Linked DNA regions of Sus scrofa. The protein of the gene in region 1 purifies or fractionates together with the protein of each later gene. This does not show direct contact. Links are inferred from orthologs where the notes say so. Each region holds a gene or a part of one and is shown on either strand. Other genes may lie near its edges.

Evidence for each region.
Region 2: the proteins of CABIN1 (region 1) and UBN1 purify together in Homo sapiens (affinity purification with western blotting; 6 studies listed by BioGRID, with this or other methods). This does not show direct contact. The link is inferred for Sus scrofa from reciprocal best matches to the Homo sapiens genes CABIN1 and UBN1.

Annotation. Positions count from the first base shown.
Region 1 is NC_010456.5:49,782,460-49,790,271, forward strand, and holds the start of CABIN1 (calcineurin-binding protein cabin-1), read right to left. Parts: upstream 5,255-7,812; 5' UTR 5,151-5,254; intron 3,031-5,150; exon of another isoform or gene 2,918-3,030; intron 1-2,917. UniProt on the Homo sapiens protein: May be required for replication-independent chromatin assembly. May serve as a negative regulator of T-cell receptor (TCR) signaling via inhibition of calcineurin. Inhibition of activated calcineurin is dependent on both PKC and calcium signals.
Region 2 is NC_010445.4:37,547,389-37,554,654, forward strand, and holds part of UBN1 (ubinuclein-1), read right to left. Parts: 5' UTR 7,133-7,266; intron 4,216-7,132; 5' UTR 4,177-4,215; coding exon 3,928-4,176; intron 1-3,927. UniProt on the Homo sapiens protein: Acts as a novel regulator of senescence. Involved in the formation of senescence-associated heterochromatin foci (SAHF), which represses expression of proliferation-promoting genes. Binds to proliferation-promoting genes.

The DNA.
Region 1 (7,812 bases):
TGCAGCTACTAGGCTACACCACAGCCACAGCAACACCGGATCCTTAACCCACTGATCAAGGCCAGGGATGGAACCCATATCCTTATGGATACCAGTCGGGTAACTAAGAGCCACAGCAGGAACTCCACACAGCAACCAATCTTAAGGAACAAAAGCCACAGGAGATGCTATTAGATAGAAACTCACCCCTCTCCTTACAAGACAGATCCAGTGGAGAAGAAATAAGTAAGGAGACGGAAGATCTAAACAAAACAAATAGAGGAGAATTGTATAGATGTTACCAAACTCTACCCCCGACAACAAAGACCACCCACTCTCCTCCAGGGCCACAGCACATTCACAGGAAATGATCCTACATGAGGTCACCAAGAGAATATCTTCTATAAAGTACAAATATTAAAAACAACACTCTCTCCCAAAGCAACAGAAATAAAAGAAAAAATAAACCAATGGGACCTAATCAAATTAACAAGCTTTTGCACAGCAAAGGAAACCATAAAAAAACCCAAAACGACAACTTACAGAATGGGATAAAATAGTTTCAAATAATGCAACTAACAAGGGCTTAATCTCTAAAATATACAAACAACTCAGACAACTCAACAGCAAAAAAGCCAACAACCCAATGGAAAAATGGGTAAAAGACCTGAATAGACATTTTTACAAAGACGACACACAGATGGCCAACAAGCACATGAAAAAGTGCTCAACATCACTGATTATTAGAGAAATGCAAATCAAAACTACCAGGAGGTACCACCTCACACCAGTCAGGATGGCCACCATTAACAAGTCCACAAATAACATACGCTGGAGAAGGTGTGGAGAAAAGGGAACCCTCCTGCACTGTTGGTGGGAATGTAAGCTGGTACAGCCACTATGGAGAACAGTATGGAGGTACCTTAGAAAACTATACACAGAACTACCATATGACCCAGCAATCCCACTCTTGGGCATATATCCAGACAAAACTTGCCCTGAAAAAGACACATGCACCCACATGTTCATTACAGCACTATTCACAACAGCCAAGAAATGGAAACGACCTAAAAGTCCATTGACAGATGACTGCATTAAGATGTGGGGAGTTCCCGTCGTGGCACAGTGGTTAACGAATCCGACTAGGAACCATGAGGTTGCGGGTTCGATCCCTGCCCTTGCTCAGTGGGTCGGGGTTCCGGCGTTGCCGTGAGCTGTGGTGTAGGTCGCAGACGTGGCTCAGATCCCGCGCTGCTGTGGCTCTGGCATAGGCTGGTGTCAACAGCTCCGATTAGACCCCTAGCCTGGGAACCTCCATATGCCGCAGGAGCGGCGCAACAAATGGCAAAAAACAGAAAAAAAAAAAAAAAAAAAAAAAGAAGATGTGGTATATACACACAATGGAATACTACTCAGCCATAAAAAAGAACAAAATAATGCCATTTGCAGCAACATGGATAGAACTACAGATTTTCTTACTAAGTGAAGTAAGTCAGAAAGAGAAAGACAAATACTATATGATATCACTTATACCTGGAATCTAATATACAGCACAAATGAAATCTTTCTACAGAAAAGAAAATCATGGACATGGGGAACAGACTTGTGGTTGCCAGGGGGAGGGGGAGAGAGTGGGATGGATTGGGAATTTGGAGTTAACAAATGCAAACTATTGCCTTTGGAATGTATAAGTAATGAGATCCTGCACTGGGAACTGTAGCTAGTCACTTATGATGAAACATGATAATGTGAGAAAAAAGAATGTATACATGTATGTGTGACTGGGTCACCTTGCTATACAGTAGAAAACTGACTGAACACTGTAAACCAGCTATAATGCAAAAAAATATAAAAATCATTATAAGATTAAAAAATAAAAACGACACTCCCTAATAACTTAAAACTAGGTAAGTGACAACCACCCCACCAGTAGCAGAGGAAGAAAAGTCCTTATGTCTAAAAATGTAGGAACCGGAGTTTCCTTCATGGCTCAGCAGTTAACAAACATGACCTGCATCCATGAAGACGAAAGTTCAATCCATGGCCTCGCTCAGTGGGTTAAGGATCCGGCGTTGTGGTGAGCTGTGGTGTAGGTCACAGACGTGGCTCAGATCTCCTCTTGCTATGACTGTGGTGTAGGCCAGCAGCTGCAGCTCCAATTCAACCCCTAGCCTGGGAACCTCCATATGCTGCAAGTGCAGACCTAAAAAGCAAAAAATAAAAATAAAAATAAATAAATTTTAAAAATATAAAAATAAAAATGTAAAAACCTCATATTAAACAACTTCCAGGGAAAAGGAAATGCAACTAAAATTCTAGACATTTAAAGAAATACAAACAATGAAAACACGTCACATACGTAAAAACACAGTGTACTCATCCGTGGGCGGAGGGAGAGGGGGCAATAGAAAGGATTATCTCCATAGAAAAGAAAGCCTATGACAAAATTCAACACCTATTCATGATATTAAAAAAAAAAAAAAAAAAGGCACCTCAAGAAAACCAGAATTTTCTGTATTCTATATATATATATATTTTTTTTTTTTGGCCAAACCAAGCCACAGCAGTGACAACACCAGATCCCCTAACCTGCTGTGCCACCAGGGAACTCCTGGAATTTTCTTAACAATGTTAAAACACACATACCTTAGTCTAAAGCCAAAATTTATTAAATGAAGTAACACCAGAAGGACTTCCTTTAATACCAGCAATAAAGGATGCCCACTGAAATGCCATTTCTCACCTAACACACTGGCAAAAACTAAAGCACAAAGGCACACTCTTGGTGGTAAGGTTGTGGGGAAACAGGCACTACTCTCAAACACCTTTGGTGGGAATGCAAATTGGTACAAGCCCCCCACAAAAAAAACAAACAAACTAGTATAGCCCCTCTGGAAAAGAGTATGATAACAGGCAACAAAATCACCAATGCACTTACCTTTCAAGCCAGCAATCCTAGGAATCTACCCTGAAGATGCATCTCCAACCATGTAAAAATACATATGCACAGGGTTCCAGCACTGTTTGCCATTGCAAGATCTTGAAAACCACCTAAATGGCCACAGATAGTCCAGGATATGAATAAATAAACTATGGCACCTCCATACAATGAAGTAACATTGCAGCTGCAAAATCCATGAGGGAATGTTCACAGCTACATTATTCATAATAACCAAAGAGAAGAAACAACCCAAATGGCCATCAACTAATTTCTGGATAAACAAAATGTGGTCCAGCCATACAATGGAATATCAATCAGCCATAAAATGGAATGAACTAATGAAAACACAGATGAACCACAAAAACATGATGCTGGGAGTTCCCACTGTGGCTCAGCAGGCTAAGAACCCAACGTAGTGTCCAAGAGGATGCAGGTTGGATCCCTGGCCTCAGTCAGCAGGTTAAAGATCTGGCATTGCCATGAGTTGCGGTCTAAATAGAAGACTCAGCTCAGATCTGCATTGCTGTGGCGTAGGCCGGCAGCTGAAGCTCTGATTCAACCCCTAGCCTGGGAACTTCCATATGCTGCCGGTTGGGCCCTAAAAAAGCAAAACAAACAAACAAACAAACGAAAAACTCAGCAAGGCCAAAAAGTTTAGAAGTTTAGTAAAGACTAAGTAACTGGTGGAGTGCTGTGGATGCTCCAGTTCTATCCCCAGCGGGGCGCAGTGGGTTAAAGGATCCCCCTTTGCTACAGCTGTGGCACAGGTCAAAGCTGTGGCTGTGATGCAACCCCTGGCCTGGGGAACTTCCATTATGCCACAGGTGGGACCATAAAATTTTAAAAAACCAAAAAGGCACATTCAGGACTTAAACCTCATGAGTTTCCAAAATCTTTATGGTACAGTTTTCATGGCCCTCAGAACACATGACAACAGCACACCCTGAGCACCTCACCCAGATCCAGTGATAAGGGGTGATGTTTCTTAGCAGGCTCTGGCCTGGGAATGGGGAAGCCTGGGCCGTGTGACTGACATGGCATCAGATGCCGGTCTCTAGGTCATTTCCCTCCACTGTATGAGGCTTTGGGCTAGACTTGGGATCCACAAGCTACCAAGCCCACAGTTTCTGTACAGCTCAAGAGCAAAGAATGGCTTTTTCTTTTTCTTTTTTTTTTAATGGCCATACCCATGGCATATGGAAGCTCCCAGGCCAGGGATTGAATCTGAGCCACAGCTGCAACCTACCTACCCTGCAGCTGCCGCAAAGCTCGATCTTTTTAACCCACTGCTGGGGATTGAACCCCTGCCTCAGAAGCAACCCAAGACGCTAGGGTGGGCAGCACAACCCACAGTACAATGGCAAGAACTCCCACTTTTTACATTTTTAAATGGTTGAAAAGTTCATGACACATGAAAATTACTGACAACATAAAATTGCAACTTCAGTGTCCCTAAATGAAATTTTCTTGAAACAACTTTACGAACTGTCGTTGGCTGTGTCCACAATACAGCAACAGAGCTAAGAAAACTATGCCCCCTCCTCATTATAAGCACAATTACACTCATTATTGTCACAAGGAATAGTATCATATAAACTACTCTATTTAGAACCGAAGTTTGCTGACCCCTGAACCAGACGTCTCTGAGGACACATGGGTCCTAACCACGGTTATGTACCACACAGAAAGAACCCCAGCCGCTTGGTCCGCATACACAGTAGGCCCTTCACCAAGGGGTGAAGGAACCCCTAAAGCCGCCTGTGCAGACACCTGCCGACGTCAGAAAGCTCCACCTGGCCTCCTCCGGGACGGCAGTGGGTCCAGGCTTTTAGTCTGGAGTCGGCTAGCCTGCCGGGAAGCTGGGGACTTGGGACAAGCGGCCGCACCACCTCTCGGCCTCAGTCCCCATCCCGCGAGGGGCGCCCACCTGGTGCCCGCCGCGCAGCGCCGCCGCGAAGGTTAAGTGGAAGGACACGCAGCAAGGGTGGGTGCGGGGCCCTGTTCCGCGACCGCAGACGGGACGGCTGAGTTGTTGAGACCCCCACAGCGTTCCTGAGACCCCCGCCCCAGGCCCCAAGCGGAGCGGGAGCCGCCAAGAGGTTCGCGCGGCAGTGGGGCCTGGCTCGGCCGCTCGGGCTCCCAGCCTGGGTTTTTCCGTGAGCAGCCCCCAGCCAGCCGCTCCTCAGCACCACACCTCCAAGCCTCACCCCAGCCCGGGGCCTCCCCAAACCTGCAGTACGCGAACTCACGAGTCGTCTCCACGGCAACAGGCCGTCCGCCGGACCCCCGCGCCCGTCGGAAGGACTGCGCGCCTGACAACAAGGAGCGCTCCCATTGGCTCGGGAGCCGGCTCCGCCAGCCAATCGGCGAGCCCGCACGCGCCTTCCCGAGAGCCAGCGCGCGGGGACCTTGAGGGCCTCTTGGCGGTAATCTGCAGCGCGGTTGGTGACACCTGCTAAGTAATCGGCAGCAGTGTTCCAACTGCGACAGGTGCTCGGAAGGTGGAAACCTGGGGACACTTGGAGGGGACCAAGGGAGTAACAATATTCTCATTCCTATGCCCGTGGCTCACCTTTTTCCGAAAAGGATTTGAAGCCTAAAAACCACAGATACAACGAACTATTGAAGCAGAGAGTACTGGGGGCGGGGAGCGGAGGGCGGGTAGTCTGTTGGGAGGTGAACGGGCGGGGGAGGGAACAACAGAATTTAAGAGCCTGGAAGAGGGTTTCTGACAACCGGCTGGGACTGAGATGTTACGCTCTTGGGAGCTAAGCATTTTAGGGAAGGGCTTCCCTGGTTCAGATTTATAGGTGCATGAGTCCAGGAAGTATGATTTAAATAAGAATGAATGTTAGGAGTTCCCTGGTGGCTCAGCGGTTTAAGAATCTGACCTTGTCTGGAGTTCCCGTCGTGGCGCAGTGGTTAACGAATCCGACTAGGAACCATGACGTTGCGGGTTCGATCCCTGCCCTTGCTCACTGGGTTAACGATCCGGCGTTGCCATGAGCTGTGGTGTAGGCTGCAGACGCGGCTCGAATCCCGCATTGCTGTGGCTCTGGCGTAGGCTGGCAGCTACAGCTCTGATTCGACCCCTAGCCTGGGAACCTCCATATGCCGCAGGAGCGGCCCAAGAAATGGCAAAAAGACAAAAAAAAAAAAAAAAAGAAGAAGAAGAAGAATCTGACCTTGTCACTGCTGTGGCTTGGGTTTAATCCCTGATCCAGAGAACTTCCACAAGCTGTGAGCCTGGCCAAAAAAAGAAGGATGAATCTTACGCCCTTTCTCTTTGACTTTGTTTAAAGACGGTAAAATCATGCTGAAGAACTCAATTCAGTACAGTAAAGCTTTAATGATATGCCAGGAGGTACAAAAATAATTGAGTCACCAAGCTTGATTTTGAAAGGAGTGTAACCTGGGCAGGGGTGGGGAGCTGTAAATAGAGAGTAAGCAGATGGTTTAGAAGTTTCATGAATGACTTGCAGCCTTGGACGCAGCTCCCACCCCCTGAAAGATGCTCTGAAGTAAAACAATTGAAAAAAAGATGCGGGAGTTCCCGTTGTGGTGCAGCGGAAACGAGTCCAACTAGGAACCATGAGGTTGTGGGTTCGATCCCTGGCCTTGCTCAGTGAGTTAAGGATCTGGCATTGCCGTGAGTTGAGGTATAGGTCACAGACACAGCTTGGGTCTTGGGTGGCTGTGGCTGTGGCGCCAACTGGACCCCTAGCCCGGGAACCTCCATATGCTGTGAGTGCAGCCCTAAAAAGAAAAAAAAAAAATTTAATTTAAAAAGAAAAAAAGAGATAAAGGTGGTCCAAGCAGCAGGAAGCTGTGTGGCAAGGGTTTAGAGTTAAGAGTGCAGGCCATGCAGGAACATCATGCAGTCTGGTGTTAAGCAGCAAAGCTCAGGAGCACAGTGGGGAGAGATACTGCCAAGCTGGTGGAGGGGCCAGTCACTACAGTGATGAAAGATTGAGGTGGGAAGACCAGACTGGCCCTGGCAAGGGTTAGGCCTGAATCCCTCCTTGGGCACTTCAACCATTCATTTACATTCAACCCACAAACATTCCCCATGTCCCTTTGAGAAGCGGGACATTCATGTTGGCAGGAAAAAGTGCAGAAACAGGAAGGGAAGCAAGGGGCAGGAACTTGGCATTGGTTAGGTACAAAGACCAGGCACAGGTGCATTCCTTTGGAAATGCACCTGGACTGCATAGACTAAAAATCTGTTTGGTATTTCATTGGTGCACAGGATGATGAAAGCTTTAACTGTGTAGGGAAACATAGTGCCCACAAATGTCTGAGATTTAAACTCAGCATCAAACATCTGGAAGAAAACTGATGGAATTTCCGTTGTGGTTCGTTGGAAACCAACTGGACTAGTATCCATGAGGGATGTGGGTTCATTCCTTGGCCCCACTTGGTTAAGGATCTGGCGTTATTGTGAGCTGCAGCATAGGTCGCAGATGCAGCTGAGATCCTGAGGTGCTATGGCTATGATATAGGCAGACAACTACAGCTCCAATTTGACCCCTAGTCTGGGAACTTCCATATGCAACAGATACAGCCCTAAAAAGACCAAAAAAAAAAAAACCAAACCTGCAAGGAAACTGAGGAGGCTTCTTTGAGGCTTCCCCCACCCCACCTGTATATCCTCTGAAATGCCAAAGCAGGATTTGGTCTTTAGATAAGGGGGTGGGATCTTACTCATTCTGTTTCTAAAGACAGCCATTTCCGGGTTTGCCATCCTGGGCCATGGATTTCACAGGGCACACAGTAACAGAATTATCAGCAAGATTTATGGGACATGGAGTTTGGCAGGGTCCTGGGAAGGTCCCTGAAGCCCAGCCCCACTGCTCCCCTCCCAGGCACAGCAGTCCATGGGCAGTGAACTG
Region 2 (7,266 bases), on another chromosome or scaffold:
TCACTATGGAAAACAGTATGGAGAGTCCTCAGAAAACTAAACAGAATTATCATTTGATCCATCAATCCCACTCCTGGGCATCTACCCAGAAAAAACCATGATTCAAAAAAATATACGTACTCCAATATTCATTGCAGCACTATATACAATAGCCAAGACATGGAAGCAACCTACATGTCCATTAACAGAGGAGTGGATAAAGAAGATGTGGTACATATACACAATGGAATATTACTCAGCCATAAAAAGGAATGAAATAATGGCATTTGCAGCAACATGGATAGACCTAAAAATTATGCTAAGTTAGACAGTGAGACACAAATGCCATATGCTATCACTTTTATGTGCAATCTAGAAAAAGTGTACAATGAATTTCTTGGCAGAACAAAAAGCGATTCAGACTTTGAAAAACTTATGGTTACCAAAGGAGACAGGTTGTGGGGAAGGGGAGGGGTGGGCTGGGGGTTTGGGATGGAAATGTTGTAAAATTGGGTTGTGATGATGGTTGTACAATTATAAATATAAAATTCACTTGAGTTAAAAATAAAAGATTCCAGTACCAAATACACTTAAGACTCCAGAGTATTCCAAAAACACTAGAGATTGGATGCTTGTTCAAAAAACAAAATTCTATCTCACTCTCCCATCTCTTCCCACTGAAATCCCTCTCACTCACAAAGGATCAGCTAAATGATTTAGAATACACCTATACCAGTATGTTAAACAGCATACATACATTGTACACACAAAAATGGATGGTCTTCAAAACAGCTTGTCTGAACCTTCTAGCTTTTCCACAATGATGAGATATAACCTAAATCGTTCAAATAATTCTAAGAAATCCCACCAACCTGGAGTGGTGTTGGATTTAATGTGTATTGCTTAATACCCTGTAAATAGTAGTCATCCACAATTTCCTGAACGTATGACGGTGCAGCTCTGTCTAAACACAGCATCTGGAATATAAGCTCTTCTCTATCCAAGTTCTGCAGGGCCTCTATTTGTACCAGACTTAAACAATTACCACATTGTGACTCCTGTCACCTATGTTGATATAATCTTCCTAAAACATCAGACTGCCAAGTCCCTTTGAGGCTGGTACAGCAACTTCTCCACCTTTACATAGTCCACAGCGTCTAGCACAGTGCCTTCTCACTGTAAGAATACAGGCTGAATGAGTTAATCCATGAACACGTCAGAATACACTGTGCTTTCAACACTGCAGAGCAGACATGACAATTCAGGAGTTCTGAATCTGAAGGCCAGGAGTGAACCCCTGAAATGGAATTCAAAGTTTTCTATGTATGCCACCCATACATTTTTCTGCAAGTGAGAAGGGCATCTGAACCCAAAAAGGGTAAAATCAGAGCATGGAGTTCTAATTTCCATTGACCTACTGATTTGGTTTGAGTCCATAAATACTTTAACCAATGCCTACTGCTTTGTCTTCCTCTCAAGGAAGAGGAAACTACTCCTACTTTGGAAAAGAGTTCATGGACGAATTTAAAATTACTTTTTCTCATCCTGTCCACTGGCCTTCATACAACAGAATGACTCTTGGCACAGGCTCAAGTGGCTTCCATTCAGCCAATTATTTTTTCTTTTTACAGCTGCACATGGTGTAGCTGGGGGTCAAATTGGAGCTACAGCTGCCGGCTTATAGCACAGCAACACCAGATTTGCAACCTGCGCAGCAGCTTGTGGTAACCCTGGATCCTTAACCCTCTGAGCAAGGCCAGGGATTGTACCCACATCCTCATGGATACTAAGTTGGGTTCCTAATCCACTGAGCCACACTAGGAATTTCCAATCAGATCTTTATCAAGGAAACATTTTTATTTGGAATAAAGAAAAGTGGCGAATCCTCCTATTCAAAAGCATTCACCCCAAATAGCACAACCATGGATTAGACTGAAGGAGCACTGGCCACTGAAGCCATTTGCTAGAAACTACAGCTGCATGATCTCATCTACCTCAGACATGCTGTGAGACAGGTACCAACCTAATCTTCACTTCACTAGGAGCCACTCTAGAGATCCAAATGCTGCCAAATGCAGGATCCTACCATCCTTTCCCTCAGAGGATAGCCTAGTGCGTTTGTCTGTTTTTGTCTTTTGGGGGCCACACTCGAGGCATATGGAAGTTCCCAGACTAGGGGCTGAATCGGAGCCACAGCAACACCGGATTCCCGATCCACTGAGTGAGGCCAGGGATCGAACCTGCGTCCTCATGGATACTAGTCAGATCTGTTTCCACTGAGCCACAATGGGAACTCCCTGTACTTTTCTTATGTACATAATCCAATATAAAAAGTTTTTATGAGTTCCTGTCATGGCACAGAGGAAACAAATCCAACTAGGAACCATGAGGTTGCGGGTTTGATCCCTGGCCTCACTCAATGGATTAAGAATCCAGTATTGCCATGAGCTGTGATGCAGGTCGCAGATGTGGCTCAGATCTGGCGTTGCTATGGCTGTGGTGTAGGCCAGCAGCTACAGCTCCAATTAGACCCCTAGCCTGGGAACCTCCATATGCCGCGGGTGCGGCCCTAAAAAGACCAAAAAAAAAAAAAAAAAAAAAAAAAAAGAGTTTTTACAGAGTTAATGAATTCCAAAGGATAAGAACTGAAGCTGGATAATGGGTACATAGGGTCTTATACTATTCTCTCTCTACTGCACATATTTGAAAAGTTCCATACTAAAAAAGTAAAACAAATCTATCAGAAAAAAAAATCATTTTAAGAATATTTGAGAAATCAGGGGAGTTCCCGTCGTGGCGCAGTGGTTAACGAATCCGACTAGGAACCATGAGGTTGCGGGTTCAATCCCTGGCCTCGATCAGTGGGTTAAAGATCCGGTGTTGCCGTGAGCTGTGGTGTAGGTTGCAGACGTGGCTCGAATCCTGCGTTGCTGTGGCTGTGGTGTAGGCCGGCAGCTATAGCTCCAATTGGACACCTAGCCTGGGAATCTCCATATGCTGAGGGTGCAGCCCTAAAAAGCAAAAAAAAAAAAAAAAAAAGTTTCTATCCATACAGGTAAAGAAACTATTCAGAACATTACCATGTTTTTTTTCTCTTTTTCTGCCACATCCACAGCATTTAAAAATTCATGGGCCAGGGATCAAATCTGAGCCGCATTTGTGACCTATCCCACAGCTAGAGCAACGCTGGATCCATAACCCCATTCACAGGGGATTGAACTGGTAATACCACAGAGACCAGCTGGATCATTACCCCACTGCACTACAGCGGGAACTCCCAGAATATCATTGCATTCAGAAGAGATGAGCAGTGTGCGTCTTTTCTTGCTTGCCTTCCTATTAGGCAGTGTGAGAGTGCCTTGGAAAAGAGAAATGCCCAGCATGAAATTCCAGCACTAGAAAAGCCAGGGACTGGTCATATTTTTTACTTTTTTTTTTAGGGCCACACCCACAGCATACGGATGTTCCCAGGCTAGGGGTGGAATCAGAGCTACAGCTACCGGCCTACACCACAGCTCATGGCAACACCGGATCCTTAACCCACTGAGCAAGGCCAGGGATCAAATCTGCAACCTCATGGTTCCTAGTTAGATTTGTTTCCATTCCACCACGACAGGAACTCCAAGGGACTGGTCATATTTACATGACGACAGGAACTCCAAGGGACTGGTCATATTTACATGTAACATTTATAGCCTTTCCATGAAAAAATCTGTTGTTTCTTCATATTATTAACCATAATTCAAATTAGCCTTGGATCTGCCATACATTTTCTCTAACGCAAATCAGGGAATGGTTCTAGAAAGAATTCTATTCCTTCCTACCAGAAGCAAAACCAGCAAACCTTGTGCTTGCTTTGTGAGGGGGTCAAAGCTTCTTTAGCGCTGCCTCCACCCTCTGCAACCCTGGGCATGAGATGTGCAGTGAGCCTGGGCCGTGGGGGTGTACCTTGTCTGCCGGCTGAAGTCCTTTCACCTTCCCTCGCAAGTTTTTCACCAGCTCTGGGTAGAAGAACTCTGGGCATCGCTTGTGATCTGGCTCAAAGAGGGTGAGTGTAATCCGAACAGCTGCTGCAGCCGGCTCAGAGTCCTGATGCTGTTCTACTCCCCCAACCTCCTCTTTCCGGGATTTCTTCAAAAACGCAGGATTCAGAGGACCCGGGAGAGAGGTGAACTGGACCCTGTGGGGCTCCGACATGGCTACCAACAAGTCTTAGTAGGTGTCACTGCATGGCTTCTGTAAACAAACCAAGATGATAAAAATGATGATCTCGCCTGTTCAGTTATAGAGATTTCAATTAAAAAAACAAAAAAACCTTTCACTGTTAAGAAACAGCACTGTTAAATTCATCTTAATTACCACTTACTGTTTTCTGCTTACCTACTATTTACCTTAAATATAAAAATTTTTGGAGTTCCCAACGTGGCACAGCAGAAACGAATCTGACTAGGAACCGTGAGGTTGTGCGTTCGAACCCTGGCCTCACTCAGTGGGTTAAGGATCCGGCGTTGCCATGAGCTGTGGTGTAGGTCGAAGACATGGCTCGGATCTGGTGTTGCTGTGGCTCTGGTGTAGGCTGGCAGCTATAACTCCAATCAGACCTGGGAACCTCCATATGCTGCAGGTGCGGCCTTAGAAAAACAAATATGTATATATGTATATACACATAAGTTTTCATGTACATATAAAAGACATGCCATTTCACATCATTCAGAGATAATCACTGTTTAGTATGCTTCCTTGCAGTCTTTCTTCTACGTATCTTCACTAAGTTCTTGAAATTAGAGAAACCATGCTGACAGAGCCTTAGTAGGCTCTGTAGTCTTAGTAGCAGCTGTAGCTCTGATTCAACCCCTAGCCTGGGAACCTCCATATGCCACAAGTGCGGCCTTAAAAACACAAAAACAAAACAAAACAAAATTAAATGAATAAATAAATAAAAATGTAACCTCATCTAGGCCCAAATTTTAGATAGTGTAACTTCAATCCCCTAGATGATAAAAATGCTTCTACTGCTTGGGTAAGTGATTTTGCAGGCCTAAGAAATTACATAAATAAGATTAGAAAATAAAATAAATCAAACAATAGCATATCAACACTTACATTTTAGATTAAGTTCTAAGTCATTGTAGTAATTCATGTGAAACATTTAAGAGAATGAGACACATTCATGATTATTAGTTACAACTTTAACTTGAAATGCTTAAGGAAATGTAACTAAATTGAAAGTATGCTTTCAAAACACCTGACTTACATTTACATGAGTATTAGACGCCTAAGAGTTAAGACCTTGAAAAGATTTTACTTTTAGGTTTGTAAGCTCACGCTTTAGAAGTGTGATGTATCTGAGAGAAAGAACAACCATATAAAACTTTGAATTCAGGTTAGAACATCTGAGGGAGTTTATTTATTTATTTTTTTTGTCTTTTGAGGGCCACACCCGCGGCATATGGAGCTTCCCAGGCTAGGGGTCCAATTGGGAGCTGTTGCCTCCGGCCCACGCCAGAGACACAGCAACTCCAGATCTGAGCCGAGTCTTCGACCTACACCACAGTTCACGGCCACGCCAGATCCTTAACCCACTGAGTGAGGCCAGGGATCTAACCCGAAAACCTCATGATTGCTGGCTGGATTTGTTTCCGCTGTGCCATGACGGGAACTCCAGAATTTAATTTTTAAAAAGAGTTCACTGGGGGTATTCAATTTGTTAAACTGGTGCCTTAATTGAAAATTTGTCAAAAATCAAATATATTTTTACATAAGCATTTTTAGATCTGTAAAAATAAAATTGTCAACAAAGATTAAAAGGCTTTTAAAAGCTAAGCACTTAAGATACTCAATTTTTTTTTCTTTTAAAATGGCTGCACTCATGGCATATGGAAGCTCCCAGGCTAGGGAATGAATCTGAGCCACAGCTGTGATCTATGCCACATATGCAGCAACTAGGGATTCTTCAACCCACTGCATCTGGCCTCTGAAGCAACCAGAGCGGCTGCAGTCGGAGTCTTAATCCACTGCACCAGAGTAGGAACTCCTGGATACTCAATTGCAATGAGCTGAGCATTTTAATGAGTTGAACATTATTCTAAATAAAAGCACAGTATTCTACAAACAAAACCACCCCTCTTAAAAAACCTCAACAGATGCTAACCCCAAAATAACAACTTCGTTCTGTACCTCAGGTTATACTCAGGAGTATTTTTTTGTTGTTACATACCCTCTTAATATTTTCAAACTGATTATTGGTAAAAATGTAGAAAAACTAACTGAATTTTGCATGCTGACTTTGTAATTAGTCTCTTCAATGAACTCTTACTTAATGGATTTCCCTTGCACTTTTCAAAATAGGCTGTCGAGTAACATTCACAGAAGAAAAATTTTGTCTCCTACTTTCCGAAAAAATACGTTTTATTTTTGTTTCATGTCTTGTTGCATTGGCTAGAACTGCCAGAATGTTAGACAATATATTCTTTGCCATGTTCCTGACTGTAATGGGAATGTCTCTAGGTCCAATGTGATGTTGATTTAAGATCTGTGTATTTTATGAAGTCATTAACGTACCCTTCGATTCCTCAAAAATTAAGTTAGGAAGGTGTGTTGAATTTTAGTGTTCCCTCTTGGAAACTTAAATACGCTTTAAATCATAGATTTGTATTTAAAACAACACAAAATAGTTACCAGTAAATGACACTTCCTGAAACTAGCTGATGGTACTTCAGCGAAACTGAATTCCAAAGAGAAACCAGGCTTCGGACAAGTCAGTTCGCTAAAAACTTCCCGTTTACACCCAGTCTCTGTATAACACGACACCTATGAGAGATGCCCGTGGACCTGCCACTCTTTCATGCAGGCGGTGACTCAAGAAAAGTCCCGGGTAAGTTAACACTTGACTTAGACTCCCTGGGTTCTCAAACTGAGATTGGAACCTTTTTAAAATGTTTTACATTCTATCTGCGATGGTGATATTTAGGCAGACGCTGTGCTAAACTGCTTGTTATTCAAGATTCCCCATTCAATGGTTTAGTTTGAACATACTGAAACTACGCTTAGCGTCTGCCTTCCTGTTGTCAAAACAGCCTGTTTCCAACTTCCCTAAAAGTGTCAAACCACAACAAAGCTTACGTGAGAGCCCAGTTCCCACAAAGACACGTACCTTTGTCCCCGGCGCGACGCAGGCTACGGCCCCGCGGGCCGCACTCGTTCCCCCGTGGCCGTCCTCATGCCGGCCCGGGAGCCCGGGCTGCCGCGCTGCTAGCGGCCGGCCACCGAGCCATGCCTCCCGGCGGT